Linked DNA regions of Astyanax mexicanus. The protein of the gene in region 1 purifies or fractionates together with the protein of each later gene. This does not show direct contact. Links are inferred from orthologs where the notes say so. Each region holds a gene or a part of one and is shown on either strand. Other genes may lie near its edges. The genes, in order: gtse1 and acad11.

Region 1 (8,732 bases):
GCTGGTGAGCACTGCGCCATGAGATAGATTAGTAGTAGATTAATAGATAGTAGATTAATAGATATAGTACCTGCAGTATTGCTGCGACAATTAATTTTTAAATCATCCTAAATTTTATTAAACATTTGATTTTGAGATAGTTGCAAGATTATAAGTGTATGTAAACACAATTGAATTATTTGTACCATCAAATCATAAATAAAAAGAAGTAATATGTTTTAAACCAACTTTTTGTTATGCCTTTAAAATGAAATGTGATCATGAAATAAACAAAATGTTACAACAGTAATAAATATTAGTTACAAGATTTTGCTTTCCTAGATATAATTGTGTTTTAGATACACAGCACTGTCAACTGCCCAATCATGTATCTAAGTGTGCAAAATTACTTGTGATTTACATGTGCAGAAACTGTAAAATATTAAAGCCCTTTAAACATATTCCTTGAAGATACTATATAAAATAGATGCCAAATGCAAGTTTTAATTTATTCTTGTACTTAGATTAAAATAAATCCACATATATGTTGTTTTCTTAAGTTATTCACTTAATTCTTCTCCAAACAGGTGAGCAAATCTTTGATATTGACAGTGGCAGGAATGCTCCTTTACATGCGCCTCCTTCAGAACACTACACCATCGTTTTCAACACCTTCGTCATGATGCAGCTCTTCAATGAAATCAATGCTCGCAAAATTCATGGCGAGAGAAATGTCTTTGATGGCATCTTTAACAACCTCATCTTCTGTTCCATTGTGTTTGGCACATTTCTTATTCAGGTAAAGCTAGACAGCAATCTAACAGCAAAAAAGTGTGTTCAACATAACTCATGGTACAAAACCAATATTTTGAAATGTATACATAATATTGCAATGATTTCATTTACAGATTGTGATTGTGCAGTTTGGAGGGAAGCCCTTTAGCTGTGTAGGCCTCAGTATTGAACAGTGGCTCTGGTGTGTCTTCCTTGGCTTTGGATGTCTGCTCTGGGGTCAGGTGCGTCTGAAGTCATATCATCTTGGTTCTGTTGTTTTCTTGGGTTTTCTATGGAAAAACAGTGCAGTGTTTTATAGTGTCAAATAATTATTTCATGCATTTGATTTGCAGTTGATCACCACCATTCCCACAAGTCGGCTAAAGTTCTTGATGACTGCTGGGCATGGCACCCAGAAAGAGGAGATCCCAGAGGACGAACTGGAAGAGATGGACATGGATGAAATTGACCATGCTGAGATGGAACTGAGAAGAGGGCAGGTCCTGTGGTGCAGAGGACTCCAAAGAATCCAGACACAGGTAGACTACAGCTGTTCCTTTTTTAAACGATAAACGTATACAAAAATATCAAATTGTAATATAGCTAAGCAGGTTACTATCTCTCTGGAATATAATTTCAGAAAAGAATGTGCATGAGTTTTCTATGTAAAAATGTTTTTCTTTAGTATAGTACTGTACTGTACTGTTTTTTGTTAAAAAAAAAAGACATAGAAACATCACAATTAAAGGAAGCAGCATGGAATGACATAAAGGAATGACATCTTCATTTCTCCATCTTCAACAACATGATCCAGTGCATTTTGCTAAATCAGTCAAATTTTACCACATATGAAGTTGTTTTATTGCAAAGATACATGGTTAGATATATACTATTTAAATACAAAGCATGCTGTGTTTTGTTTGCTATGAATACATATTATTTTTATATATACATTGTTATAAATGTTCATCAAATTGTATATCACCATTTTCCGTATGCATGTAGAGATTAATTGTTTGCTTTATAACATGCCATATTACTTTACTCAGAAGGTGATCTTAATTATGTTTTACAGTTGTTGTATGTTTACATACAAGTCCCTGTTACTTTTTACGTCACATTAGGTTGATTCCTAAACTACAGCTTAATTTTAATTTTTTTTTTCCTTTTCTAAACTTCCCTGACAGATCCGTGTGGTAAATGCTTTTCGGGAAGCCATGTCTCCATATGAAGGCCTGGAGACCCCAGAGTCACGCAGCTCTATTCACAACTTCATGAGTCACCCAGAGTTCCGCATCGAAGACTCTGAGCCAGCCATCCCTCTGATTGATGAGACTGACCCAGAAGAGGAAGCGCCTACAAAACGTAATTCTGCACCGCCCCCGCCCCTTTCTCCGATCGTATCTTCTCCTAACCAGAACAACAATGCTACAGACAGCAGAAGCTTTCACCGCCATAAGGACATAATCAAGACTGCCATTCCTCAGCCCCCTGGTAGCCCCCTGCACAGCCTGGAGACATCTCTCTGATTCCATCCAAGCTAAAACCTTGCTAAGACCATGTCTGTACTACCCATGCCAAGAGCACATCACAACCCTTGCAAAGAGCATGCTTAGGAGGTCATTAAATGTTCTGGTAATGAAATGGACAGTTTTCCATCAGTCCAGGTGTAGCTGGATGGACAAGTTAGCTAACCTACAGAGAAATGTTGGTATAGATTGAGGATTTATTTGAGGATTTCTTCCCAGGCGATCTACAGTAGTCTGAGAGGAAGCTAGAAAGAAAATGTATATTTTAATACATTTACAAATTGTCCTTAAAAGAAAAAAGATAGGAATGGAAATTTTTTCTCAATTTTCAATTTGAACGAAACCTTACCCACGTGCTTTCAAGTGAAACACTGATGTGTGTTGTTTTGGCTGATTATATTGTAATAAAAATTGTTTGTTTACATGCTTTTCAAAAATATACCACCTTTGGGGGAGGGGGAGTGTGGGGGGCAAAGTGCAAATAATGAACAAGACATATGCATAGTTGCTGCTGTATCTTTATGTGAGGTTTATGTTTAGGACTTAGACAGATGATGTTAAGGCATTGTGGTCTGGTTTAGTGGTATGCAGAATAAATGGGGAAAAGAATATATCAAAATATGTTTACCATTTCAGTTTTGTTTAAATATGTGGGTTATTGAAGATTTCAGGTTGGATTCAACTGATTCTAAGCATCTTGGCATCTTACATAAGTCCATTGTGAAGGGGCTGCAGAATGTGTGTGGTATTAACAATTTAACACCTGACTTTTCCCAACCAATTGCATCACTCATTGCTTCAGAGTTATCTCCATTTATTTCATTTTTTTAAATTATTGAAGACATCAGATAAACTCATCAACAAAAGCATGCATGCTCCTCAAGTTGTCCTTAATAGCTTTGCAAGCAAGGCTGCATAAAATATAGCTTTATTTTGTTTTACAAGCATGCTGCTGGGTTTGCCCCTGAAAGCCAGGGCACTGTAAACAAATTCTACTATCTAATCCCACAATCCCTTGGGGAATAACACAGAACATGTGGAGGTGAGGCAGTGAAATGACCTCCATAAAAATGAGAAGCACAAAAACTGTAATTGTTGATCTTAGGATCTAAAGATGTGGATTTCTGTGGAGGATTTAACCATGAAGATAGGTCATAGGTTATGTTGGGTTGTGCTACACATTAACATTTAAATTATTAGAGATGGCAAATAGGAAAGAAATGCTCTTTGGTTCTTTCTTTTTGTTTCACTGTAGCTTCATTCCTATTTTGGGGATGAATGTTTATCCATCTGTTTATGGATTTATTATTTTTTCTATATTTGGTAATTACTTAATGTCTGTAAATCATAAGCAGTATAAACAGTGATTGTGGTTCAATTTCCATTTGAAAGTGTGAGTAATGTGTATGGTTTTTTGACAATAAAAGATGAATAGTTAAAATGACTACAGTGCTGATTATTGTAATTGATTTTAAGGACGCAGGGAAATTGATAAATTATATAAATGATCTTAATAATAGTAATATGAGACACCATTCATTGATTATATACTTACACAATGTATATACATTACTGGTTTCTAAGAGACTGTACTGTGCAATTTTTTGGAATCGGGTAGGTACACACTTTATTTTAAAATTAAACACTGCCTGTTCGTTAGTGTGACTAAGTTTATCTTAAACATCTAATGCATATAAAGCCTTATTTTGTCTGGGATAGCTGGCTATGAAAATAATTGTAGGAACGGATTAAGAGGGCTATACTTAATAAACTACTAATAAATAATATAAGTTTTGTGATGTATGACTAAATTGGCCATCAGATGATACCAGTGTGTGCTGTTTTAACAATGATAAAATGAACATATCACTTTGTCTGCTAACCATGTTATGAAAATCATGGGAATCAGCTGAAACCAATACTAAAAAAGATTTGTGGTGTGAGTATTGAGTTCAGTTCTTAGGTTGAACAGGGGTTGATAAAGTTTTTTAGGATTAGAAGTAGTCTGCATTATATATGGTGATAAAATTCTGAAATTATACAGCACGTGTTTACAAATAACATTCCTCATACTACCGTCTCTCTAACCTCTAAATAGTGTTGTATGTGTTAAACTGGGGCCCATTATTACGGCCTACCTCAAATTCAAATAGGATTCGCAGTGATGATGGGAATTCTGTCCCTTTATGGCGTTATTCTCTCTATTTTGGCTCTTTCAGCTCCCATGCTCCTCCGATTTCTTAGTGCTTAATTTATTAACAAATTGTGTAAAAGTGAATTACTAATCACTAATGTAAAAACATACATTGTTATACATTATGACTCATAAAATTAAAATTATCCAATGTGAGAGAGACCTTTAATTGCTTTAAATTTACCCTGGGGTCCTAAAAAATATTAAACGTTTAAAAACTATGAAACCGGGACTGTGGGACTCATTTGGGAGCGCCCTCTTTTGGCCAAACAAGGAGATACAGAAGAGATTCCTAAGTGGGATTTCTAACTCTCTGTCATGATAAATCCCATCAGTGAGAAATATTGACGGCCACTGTGAAAAGCATGGAAAAAAACTTTCTAGTTTTCATTGGAGCTACTTATACACTTAAAAGCTTCAGTTAGTAAACAGTACGTGTGTAATAACCAAAGAAGTACGATACACTGTGCCAATCATTTTTAACTAGTACCAGACATTTGTCACATAATTGTATCACATAGTCCTTCTGACTGCAGAAAATACCATTGATCACGGCAAAATAACATGTATTCTATATATTTTTTTTCTTTGGGGGGATTGGGGGGTTCTAGGTCCGGGGGTAACGTTACCTCCCTAAAATTATTTTTTGCAACCTGGACGTCTGTTTAACGGGGGTGTGTTTATAATAAATGGTCCTTATATTTTGAGAACTAAAGTTTGTGATTTTCTGTTAGAAAGACTGAATCACATATATTTAAATCCTTCCACAAAGCGGACGCTTCCGCGACTTTCTCCACCAATGAGCTTTCGCCATTTCAGCCACCTGACGTTTGAAATCAGGCTGCGCACCAAATTTGAAAGCAGTAAAACGCTGTTGGGGCTCACGGTGAAGGAGCTGCGATTTTCTGAGCGGCTTTAATTGAATAAAACACGGTTATATAGTGTGACAGACTCAGAGAACAGATGGTAAGAGTGCGGCTTAGCGTTCAGGGAAAAGATGTAGAAGTAAAGCGAGATTTACTTGTCTGTTTTGGTCTGTTAGCTACTAGCTAGCCCGCTAGCTTAGCTAAACTAGCGTTAGCTCTCTTGTTTTGTGCTAAATGTAGCGACAATAACCAGCCAATCTGTTGGCTCCAGCTAGCTAACTTAAGCTACGCTAAGCTAAGCCAAGCTAACTGTCTAGCAAGTGAGCTTACCGAGCTGATATGAGCGCAAACATATCAAATGTGTTTTATAATCGCTAAACTCTCTAACTAAACTCTCTAACTAGCGAACGGACCTCTTGTTTATTTTCAGGACTTTGACCCATCTGGTTTTCCGAGGATGATGGCTGATGATGGTAATATACTTTCAGATGTTTATAGTCACCTTGCTAAAAATTGTAGAAGGGTAGACTAGCATATGTATGTTTTTCCATACGAGACAAAATAGATAAACCGATGTGACTGTAGGAATCATCTCTTCACATGCGAGTTAAATTGACTGTCATTTCTTTGCTCTTTGGCTTCTTTCCGAAGATTTCTGCTCATTGGCTGACGAGAAGTTCGATTTTGATGTTCCCTTTTCACCAGAAAGGTTTGTTGATAAAAAAAAAATAGTTTTACTACACACTACTTCATTAAATGACCATGCATACGGTCTTGTAAAATATTGATATATTGTCAAGCTTTATATTACATTACATTTGGCAGATGCTTTTTTCCAAAGCAACTTACAAATAATGTACATTAAGCAACAGAGGACACAGAAGTACATGGCAAAAACATTTATTTAAAATGGAGGCGGAAAGGAAGGGAATAAGGAAATGAGCTTAAAACAATTGTCTGCAATACCAATATTTTGAGAGCTGGGCAATATGTCCAAAAACCTGATATAAATGGTGTAGCACAATATAATGTAATCAAATGCCTTAAAAAAAGTATAATGTAACATTTTTAGTGTTTATTTGTAACAACAAAAACTAGTTGTGCTGTACACTTAAGAAGTAAATGTCTGTGCATAACTAATGTATTTATTTAAATGAGTATGTTTACAGTAAATTGTCAAGCCCTAGTTCTTTGTCCATCCCCAGTGCAAAGAAATCTGAACTAATACCCCCTTTTTTTTTAAATACAGTTCCAAAGAGGAAGACTGTGTTGAAGATGAGGTCTTTCTGGGTCCAGTTGGTCATATGGAGAGATGTGTTTCACATGTTGTGGCAAATAAAGTGAAAGACAGTGTAAGCAGTGGGCCCTCTGTGGGTGAGGAACCCAGCTGGAGCCCCTTGCTTGAGGAGAACTTTGAGGAGATTCGTAAAGAAGCTCATCTTCTAGCCAGTCATCTTGAGGAAAGCAGTACGGACCCAGTAACAAAAGACATTACTGTTGCTTCCAGTTTGCCTGAAAACAAAGAACGGTTTGAAGCAGACACCTCAGCCAAACTGGACATGTTCAGCAAGCCTGCTGATGCACTTAGCCCAATTAAGAGGGAAACCTTCTGTGTTCAGGACAGCCCAATGAAGCAGCTTCCACCAGCCATCCAGAAGCGGCTTCAGAAGGTATGCGTCATGTCAGGTGGCAAACCACGTCTCAGCACTTCCAGCCCTGTAAGACATACTGAGACACAGCCTAAAGGGGCCTCCCGTGGCAGAAGTATAGTGGCCAGTAATAGGGTACTTCCCAGCAAACCCACGGCCGTGGTAAACTCCAGACTATCCTCTTGCACTCGACCAGCAGCCCCAAGCAAAACTCGACTCCCTGCACCCAGCAAAGTAAGGGGGTTTAACTTGTATGTTTGCAAATATTTTGTGGTCTTTTTTTTTTTCTGCCTTTCTGAATGCAGGACGGCTTTAAATAAACATTTTGTCACATGATGTGTTATTTGGTCTGTGCTGTTTCAGAGTTCGTTTGGCCTGAAGCGAAGTCCTGGCAGTAGAAACACAAGCAGAGCAGGCTCTACTGAAGACCTTCTGTCTGATACAGCTAGTGTTGCATCTGATGTGAGCGATTCTTCCTTCAACACAAGTCTGCCAGTAAAGAGGGTCCTCCCAACATCAAAGAAGGTGAAAGAACAAACACCAAGCACTTTCATTAGGTTATTTGAGAATGCTTAGAATTATTTTTTTCAAAAATTGTACATGGTCCATTGATTTAAGATGTTAACAACCTCATTCTGAGTGGGTTGATGTAAAATGGTTTATTGTAGAAAAACTTTTGTAACAATTTTCTTTATAGTGGTGGTGGTGGTTAGAACTAGGGATAATAATCCAATCAATACTTAGGCCTACATAACTCTTATTTACTATTTAAACCCATCCAGATTTTCATCTTGGATTTTTTTAAGTAGTAGTGGCAGGCCTAGATATTTAAAACATGTTTTGGGTGACCTAGTTGGAGTAATTTGACAACCCTGGTTATAAAAAAACTGCTATATACAATGCCAGCAGGGAGTAAAAAACAGGTTCGTTCATTTTTTTCACTCTGCTCACACGTCACATAAAATTAAACATTTAGCATCACTTATCATGGTTTGTAGCAGTGAGTTTATTGCTGCTTAAAACCTGCTAAAACAGCTGAGCTGTATGGTATTAGCTGAGGTAACTTTGCTAGCATTCTGGCTTTCTGTGAACTTTAACTTTAATGGCTTTAACGTAGTACTGTCAGAATGCCAGGCAGCAGCAGGCACACTGAGGACCCTAATTATTGTGTGGAGTTTAAAGGGCTATATTACAATGTTGTTGTTTTTTTCTGGTTAATCTAATCAGATTTCTAAAATGATCAGATTCTTTAAGTGGTCATGTAAACGGCATACTGATTTCTTCAGTTCAGATTAAACTCTAGTAATATGATGAGGAAAAATTGGCTTAGTAGTCAGATTTTTCAGCACATGCTTATACTCTGGTTTCTTTCAGTTTTCTCAGAGTATGCATGGAAATGTATAAACACATGGATAGGACGGATGCTTTTTCCAAAAAAAGTTTCTGTGTTTGACTATTTAGAGAATGGTGTAAAGGTCTTAACAATCTTAATAGTTTCATATTTTCTAAGATTATTGTGCCTGTCTCACTCTGGTCATAACTTTAAGCTTTTCTCATTTCCGTCAAGTATTATTTTTGTCTAGAATGAAAACACACTGAATTACTTTTATGTAATACATACAATTATGTAATAATTCTGTTTCAAGTGGGAGTCCACTGTGTAGGACACTGCCTAAAAGGATTTTTGTATGTGTTTTTACTCTAGGCAAGAGTACAAAGTGTGGTTTGTATTTACTGCAGT
Region 2 (8,639 bases), on another chromosome or scaffold:
AGTGATTCCAGTCTTTTCAACTGTAGTGTAATCATCCATCCAATCATCCAATCCTTACTATTCTTTTTGTGGTTTTCTTGACAGATGAGTATCATTATTTTCAGATAGCATGAAGGATTGGCCCAAGCTCTGCTATTGTATAGCAGCATTGGCTGAGACTCAAAATCAGGCATTTGGAATTGGGTTGAATGTGGTTTATACTCAACAGCCAGTGATGTGGCCCATTTTCCATATTATACTCCATATTATCCATATCCATATTGTCCATATTATACAGCTTGGGTCGTTTGTTGTATTTGGCAAATAGGGATGTTGGCACATGCAACACTCGATCCAAATAAGAGCCAAGCCGTTCAGACCTAGATTTAGCTAAAGACATAGCTAAAAATGCCTTAGTGATTTTTGGGTTCTGATCTGGGTTCTGATTTGAGTGTTTTTGGGCCAAGATGAAAAGCCATACAGTCAGATACTGTGAGTAGTGATTGCCATTAAGCGAGTAGCAGAGTTTTGCCCTCATGAATGGTAGGGGCCTAGATATTTCCCCCAACACACACACACACGCACGCAGGCACACACACACACACTCCCCCATTCTGCTTCCAGTCTACTTTGTAATGCAGTCATGCTCACTCTGCCGCCCGTGAGAAAGTTCCGCTCTTTCACAGTCATGCTGAGAAACTGTTTTTCTGCCTATTCTCTACCCTGTCTCCCCGAGCACAGTGCATACTGAAGAATAGGACAGGACCCGAGTTTTTACATGAATAAACAGGGTGGGTAATATTTGTGAAACTTCTTTGCAATGGCAAAAATGACCTTGTTCCCCCTTTTAAGTGAATGAAAAGGATCTACAAGGGGAGCCAGTAGATGCTGGATCATTTAGAAGGGGCTTTTATTTCTACAACTTTATTATTCATGATCCCAGCAGATTCAGACATCGACTGATAATGCCTTTACAGGAACCAAACATTCCAATGTGACTCCAGGGTCCTGTTCCAAGACCCATAAACAACTGTGCTTTCTCTTTTTTTGCCTGAGCACAGCTGACACTGCAGTTTGCGGGAATGTGTGAGCATTAAAAAACTACATGTGTGTAAACTGAGTGATGAGCTGAAATAGAGATAGTAAGAGCACATTTCTGTAACATCTTTGGTCACAATAGAATATAATAGCACTTGAGCCAAAGTTGGACACTTTATGTATTTAAATACCGTATAGAGACTTTTGAGACATTTGAACGAAGTCTGTATTAAACTGTTGCCTATTTGCTACCAGCTGTCTCTTTTTCCGATGACTGCGGTCACATTTGCTAAAATGTGAACGGAGTCTGTCAGAGCAGTTTGGCATGAAATTATTTATTGTAGAAACATTTACTGACCCTGATGTCTTTAGAACTTGAGTCCATGGTGTTTACAACACAGATACTCATCCACAAGTGTATCCATGCAGTTTTATTGGTTATATATTTTGTATGTAATTGTAAAATGATGGCAGACCTAAAAAAATACTGTAATGCCCTGCCAGTAACATATTTAGAAATTTTATACATGGCCAAAATCTTTAAACTGTCAAATTTGTTATAAGGCAATGTGTCAGACATTAAGGAGTTTAACCATTTTGTGTAGTAGTGTTTACATGGATGTTCTTAACCATCTGTTTACCATCACCACCTCTCTAGAACACCACCTCAATCACTTTCACCTCAAACAGCTCACAACAACTTGGTGTACTTCAATTGTGTGAATAATTTGGACAAATCATTAGAATTCCTATTTAATTTTAAAGTATTAAAAGAAGACCAAAGCTTTTTTTGGACAATGCACATAAACAGTGTTTTTATGGGCTTGTTTTTTCCAGTTTTATTTAACATGACATAGGATATTTATTTTTCTAAGCACAATTATAAATGAACTTTTTTCCATTAGAAGAATTTCTGTACTGCATGAACTGTTTGCAGGCCCTATGCAGTTAGGAACTGAGTGAAACAGTGTTGTGTTTTATTGTTGTTGGAGCAGATGTCTGAAATGATTGCAGTCTGCTCAGAACTAATTGTATTAATGCTTATTAAACATGTCTTTAATAATACTTTTGAATAATGCGCCATTAAAGCTTTTTTGTACAACATTTGTCTACAGTGTTCACTATTAGCTGTTACTGCTCAGTGTTTTGTAGATTCCACTGAATTAGATTACTGTTCATTTTCTGTTTTACACATAATTCAATCAAAACAAGATATCGAATGGATCATATTTGGGAGTGTTTTGGTTTGACGGTGTGATGATTTGATGTACAACAGTTCCACCTTGTGGACAGTGTTGTAACTGTGTCTCCAGTATTACAGACCTATAAGGAAAGTACGCCCCTTTTTGATGCTCTTTTTGATTGTTTTTATATATTCTGGTGTTACATAGTATCAACAATTATGTTTGTCTACATGTCCATGACGTTCTGCATAAACAACACTTTTTAGAAGTATTTTGGAAAATCACAGTCCTTGCTCAAGCCACATGTCAATGAAACCTAGTTGCTCACAGGGTTTTTTACACCTTCTTTTTGAATGTCAACATCATGTCCATGGTGTTTCAGCATTTTGTTCACAACAGCACCTGTAAACCCAACATCTCTTATTATCCTGGAAGACACATAGGCCCTACAAGAGTTGGCCCTGGTTTGTTTTTCTTTGCTATTGCCAGTTGTTTTGTTGACCTCTCAAATGCGTATTAATAGTAGTTCTTATTAGTACATACAGGAGATTTAAAGTAGCTCTGAGTTTCATCTTCCAATTTCTTGTTGTAAGACTGTATGGAGTCCCATTGCCCTTCAAAAACAACTACTTCTTGGATGACATGAAATATATTATTGATAGATATGGCCATAGTTCAATTCTATTCAAGTAGAATATTGCTCAATTGAAGGAACCTATGTGAATATGGTTTAATCCTTCTTACCCAAAATGCAACATTAATATTAAGCAGGATGATTTAACGCTCGCCCTGCCCTGCGGGCAGCGGTACTCTGTATACAGTACACCTATGTCATATTTAAAAATTCAACGGGTGCGTCAGGTCGGCATCCTGTTTTAACCTCGCTGAGCATGCTCTCACTGTTTGATGTGTTTATATGCTCATAAATAACACAACTAGCGTGTTGATCTACTAGCTCTGACTGTACTACACCAAACCAATCAACTAGCTCGTTAAAGTTTTATTTTGAAAATAAATGAATTTATCATCTTATTAATTATCTTCACTTAAATTACATTTGCTGAACAATCTATATATTGTAAATCATTTTTACTTTGCAAAAAAAAAAAAAAATCTCATTTTGGCCTGCGGCCCCCCCAGTGAGCTGCAGAGGTATTGCAAGGGGGCCGTAGGCCAAAATGAGATTTTTTTTTTTTTTGCAAAGTAAAAATCCCACAGGTTGAAAACCACTGTTATAGTCTTTCATGTCTATAGATCAATTTGTGTGCCCCATAGGCAGCAGAAACTATACAGTACAGTGGCTGATAACATAGCATGACAAAGCACATATCTATAGTTCCTGTAGAGCAGTATAAAACTTGTACATTCTCAAGGTGTGAAGGTATGGTTTAATACACAAATACATGTCCACATGTTACATTATCTCACTAACATTAACAAGCACTCTGCAATTTACAACCCTTATTTCATATCATTATAGGTTATATCAGACTGTGAATTTTAATTAATAGCTGACAAATATCTAGCTGACTTTATCAAAACTACTACTATTTAAGTGTCTAAACTTGAGAGCTATCTAGGTGAGCTATCTAGCTAATTAGCCTGATAATACACACTGCTGTCTCCAGTTAATTTAATAAAGCGTATCTGTTCACCAAATAAACCCTTTAAAATAAAAATAAATGTTACAATCTTACGTCTTTTTATTTTTTGTTTGTTTTCTTGGCTAGCTGACTATCAAAAATACTGTAAACTATTGTAGCTAGGGGTTAGGTAGCTAAGTATCTAGTCTTGTTAGCCAATTAGCCTATACATGTGCATTATTGTCTCAAGCTAACTTAAAAAGTTTTTGTTCACTAAATTAAAAATTTTATTTATAAATATTTGCTCCTCCAAGATGGCTGGATCCAACTTCCCGCTCTTTTTCTCATTTAGCAGATCTGCTTTTTTGCCACGCCTTTTCTTTAATTTGATTGGTTGTTTCTCTGAACCAGTCACTTTACTTTCTCCCCCTGAGAAACTAATCCTGTGCGAAACGAAAGGCCCTAAACTCCCATCTGCAAAGTTTGTACTTGTTATCATGTCTCACATCCCAGGTCTATTTAACAATGGATTTTTCCTTTAAGTTATGGAGTGTAAATCAAGAGAATGTTTATTTTTCGAGGGGAGTTTTAATTTAATTAAAGAGCCACTAAACCCAAAACCATATTGTTCCACTAATAACTGAAACGTGTTTCTCTGAAGTAATGAACCATATTAGACCTGCTTAAAATTTGCATAGACCTTTCCTAACCTTTAAAAAAATAAACGCTTTTATTGTGGTCAGTTCTGCCTCTGCAGTGCCCATGTACTTTGGTATGCAGACATGTCACAAAATGCAAATCAATCAATTAATCAATAGTACAGTTCCCTTGGTGATGTTCAACTACCTGCGTCACACCACTAGCAGAGGCACACTGCTCAGCCCAATCAGCTTTCCCTTCCACCCCACCCCTAAACCCATACATCAGCCAATGCCCCTCCCAAGCTACGCCTCTGATTATTATTTTATTATTATTTGAGCTGATGGGTGGACTCAGCGGTTATTTTTCAATGTTTCAATGTTTTTATTTATTTCTTTATTTTTTCCCTGTATTGTAAATGAATATTGAAGTAATCCAGACTATGAATAAGCACATAAGGAATCATGTAGAACACTTATTTATTTAAGTTAATAGTCTATTTAAGTTAAAAGTCATGTTTTATATTAACGTTACAGCATTTTAGGGCTTAGCTCACCAATCTTGACCTTTAATCCAGTTTCCAGTGCTGTATTGTGTAATAATTGGTAAGTTCATTAGGGTAAGAGCTGATGTAATTGTTTGATCATGTAGTGTCTCAGGTCTGGTCACACCTACACAGGATCAGGTTAAAGTTCATGATCAGGAGCTGGATATAAGGTCGAGATAACCTGAAGACCTCTACTGTTGGGACACTATTAGAAAGCAGAGTGCTGGGGGGACTTTTATTTTGAAACGGTAGAAAAGTCTCGCAGAAACTCCAGCATTAAGCTTTGATTCTTGCTTCTCGTGTGATTTATCGCAACTATGGAAGAGGAGACAACCCCAGTGCGGCAGCAGCACCTGTTTAACGTGAAGAAGCTGCAGAAGCACCTGATAGGTCGATTACGCGGCGTTTCTGAGAACACTGCAGTGTCTGTGCGCCAGTACAGGTAAAGAGCTTCATTAATATGCATGAGCTGCTTCACTGTCACAGCTTTCACTGCATCTGTTTATTCACTGTTTTTCATTTTTTCTGCAGTTCTGGACAGTCCAACCCCACCTTCTTCATCCAGACTCCTGACAGGTCCTATGTGCTCAGGAAGAAGCCCCCTGGCCCTTTACTGCCTGGTGCACATAAGGTTAGCCCCTGTTTTCCTCAGGCTTCAGCTGATGCTCTTCATCATCAGCTTACATTTACATCATGTATATCACAAAGCCAAAGCTTTCTAAAGTGCTGCAGCATTCAGAAATCTTCAACTCGAAGTTCACACTTTGTTTGTTGTTGTTTGGACTTTGATACACAGCTGCAAAGTTGTCAGATATAACTTATGTATGTGAAAGGTCAGCTATAAAGCGCCACTAGATGGTGCCACCTTCAAAGACAAGAATATGAATTTACTGAATTTTGTGAATGAATTCCATTGTTTGAAGTACACTGGTGTGCTGACATCAGTTCAATTTTCTTCCCTTTTAAAGAGGCACTAATTTATATATTGTATTAATAGCTGAAATGTGTTCCTCTGAAGTAATAAAACAACACAGTCCTGCTTAAAAGTTGTAAAAACAGTTTCCAACCTTTAAAAAACGCGGTTTTATTGCGGTCATTTTACCATTGCAGGTTTAACCGTGCTATAGGTGAAGATGATGTTTCCGTGTACTTTGGTATGCGGACACTCACAATAGGCAAATAAGTCAATCAATCAATCAATCAATCAGTAATACTGCCCCCTGGTGAATTCCAACCATCTGCATCTCGCTGCTAAGAGAGGCACACTGCTCAGCCCAATCAGCTCTCCCTTCAACCCCACCCCTAAACCCATACATCACCCAGTGCCCCTCCCAAACTACCCATCACATTTGTTTCATATTTTTCAATTTTGAGCTGAGAGTGGAGTCAGCAAAAATGTAAAAAAAAAATTAGGAATGCTAGAGGATGTTTTTTTTAATCATCACATCGGCCGATTTAGACGATATTTCAAACAATACATTATAAATATAATGCATGCTAGAAAATGACTACAATTACTAGACACTGGCCATGCTACTTTGAATTCCATTGATTTAAGCAAATTTTTATTTATTTGTTTTAGTTTCAATAAACCTATTTTTTTTTTATTTAATCTGTTACATTTTTAAAAGAGGGTTAAAGCTGTGAGAAGTCTGCATAAGGACCAGTTATCTAAATAAATGTTAAAAACCAATAAATGTTAAAACAAATTTCTCAAGAGATTCCTTTCATTTTGTGTTTGCATACAATACATTGGTTGAAAGCTAAAATGTAAGGCAAATAAATATTACTTTTGTGTCTAAAGTTATACCAAGGTGTCTAATCTCGCTGTAAGTTACGAATGTTATATCAGATATCGGCCTAAAATGTTAATGTTGAAAAACCAGGCTCCCTGTTTCAGCTGGATTTATAGCAATTTAAAATTAATGCATTTTAGTACAATGCAAATATATTAAAGAAGCCAGTTGGGACATTTAAAAAATATATATATATATCGGCCTAGGTAGATATGTATAAAAAAATAATATTTACCTGTTTTTGTTACATGATGAAAAATAGAGATTGTAGAGTGAAATACATGACAACTCATATCTTCACTAAAATTATGATTTTATTCCAAGATTACAGTTTTCTGTTGTTGAATTTAATACTAAACGGTCAGAACAATAACAACCATCAGTATATGACAAAGAGGTGCACATACTGCAAATATGCTGTTAACCCTTTAACGCAAAGTTCTCAGTTTTGTGCTTGAAATCTAAAACATTATATTCTGCATTAGACATAAACTTGTGATGGGAGACCACATGATTCACAATGTATACAATACAAATATACTATATATTTGTTTAATCTCATTATATCACTATTGATCCTAAAGTCCTGACAAATTCAGAAATAAATTCTTAAAAAATGTTTCAAGTATAGTGTTTAGGATAAATGGTGAATGTTTTAAACTGTGTGTGTTTTTGTGGACAGGTGGACAGAGAGTATGCTGTACAGAAGGCTCTGCACTCTGCCGGCTTTCCTGTTCCTCAGCCTCTGCTGTACTGTTCAGACACAGATGTCATCGGCACTGACTTCTACATCATGGAGCATGTACAGGTCAGACCTGCAGGCTTTAGCATCATCTTTAAGAACCATGCTGACATCAGGACTGTTAAGTCCTGGTATGACATGGCATGCTTACATGCACAGCTGCGTGAGCTGCATTCCAAAACGTGGACTGCATTTCTCGGCTGCATTTCATTGAAGGCTGTTTTAAAGTTAAAAGTCCTTTGTATGCAGCAAAGAAATGCAGCAGGCATTGAACATTAAATGAAAATAAATTAATCACATTAGTCACTTTTTTGCGAACTGTATTTTAACTGTACAATTCAAATTAATTTTAGATGAGTAGCCAATCAGTGGATTGATTGATTTATTATTTATTTATTACTTAATTAATTGAACTGACCTAAAAAAAAACTCTCTGTTTTAAACATCAATCAGTAAGAGGTGCTGTAAATACTGTATGTCTTTTTCTTTATAGTTTAATGCATCTTTATTCACCTACAAATTACAAAGAATTTGGAAAAGACAGTAGCACATACAGTGCCCTCCATAATTATTGGCACCCCTGGTTAAGATGTGTTCTTTAGCTTCTCATAAATTGAGTTTTGTTCAAAATAATATAGGACCACGATGGAAAAAAAGAGTAAAGTCCAACCTTTAACTCAAGTAAATTTTAAGGGGGAAATAAAATCCCTGACTAAGAAATAATTATTCTTCATCAAATCACCTGTTCCACAATTATTGGCACCCCTAACAATTCTTAGGAAATAAATTTAATAAAAGTATTTCTGTCACTTCTACAGTAGTTTACGAAGTTGATCAGAGTATGTAGGAACATTTCATTAGTAATTCACAACTTCCTGTTTCCCTGGGGTATAAATATGACGTGACACAGAGGCCATTTATCTTCAACACGGGAAAGACAAAGGAACATACCATTCAAGTGAGGCAGATGTGTGTTGACCTTCACAAGTCAGGCAATGGCTACAAGAAAATCGCTACTCGCCTACACCTGTCCATATCTACTGTCAGAGGAATTATTAAGAAGTTTAAAACAACTGGAACAGTGGTAAACAAGCCTGGACGAGGACGCAAGTTTATTTTGCCACCACGCAC

Evidence for each region.
Region 2: the proteins of gtse1 (region 1) and acad11 purify together in Homo sapiens (co-immunoprecipitation; 3 studies listed by BioGRID and IntAct, counting the BioPlex papers as one, with this or other methods). This does not show direct contact. The link is inferred for Astyanax mexicanus from reciprocal best matches to the Homo sapiens genes GTSE1 and ACAD11.

Annotation. Positions count from the first base shown.
Region 1 is NC_064417.1:36,523,923-36,532,654, forward strand, and holds the start of gtse1 (G2 and S phase-expressed protein 1), read left to right. Parts: upstream 1-5,283; 5' UTR 5,284-5,439; coding exon 5,440-5,442; intron 5,443-5,772; coding exon 5,773-5,815; intron 5,816-5,993; coding exon 5,994-6,051; intron 6,052-6,591; coding exon 6,592-7,225; intron 7,226-7,354; coding exon 7,355-7,516; intron 7,517-8,732. Other genes in the region: atp2b1b (plasma membrane calcium-transporting ATPase 1b), read left to right, coding at 1-4, 567-778, 888-995, 1,107-1,292, 1,941-2,282. UniProt on the Homo sapiens protein: May be involved in p53-induced cell cycle arrest in G2/M phase by interfering with microtubule rearrangements that are required to enter mitosis. Overexpression delays G2/M phase progression.
Region 2 is NC_064408.1:104,861,719-104,870,357, reverse strand, and holds the start of acad11 (acyl-CoA dehydrogenase family member 11), read left to right. Parts: upstream 1-5,122; 5' UTR 5,123-5,287; coding exon 5,288-5,412; intron 5,413-5,501; coding exon 5,502-5,601; intron 5,602-7,448; coding exon 7,449-7,574; intron 7,575-8,639. UniProt on the Homo sapiens protein: Acyl-CoA dehydrogenase, that exhibits maximal activity towards saturated C22-CoA.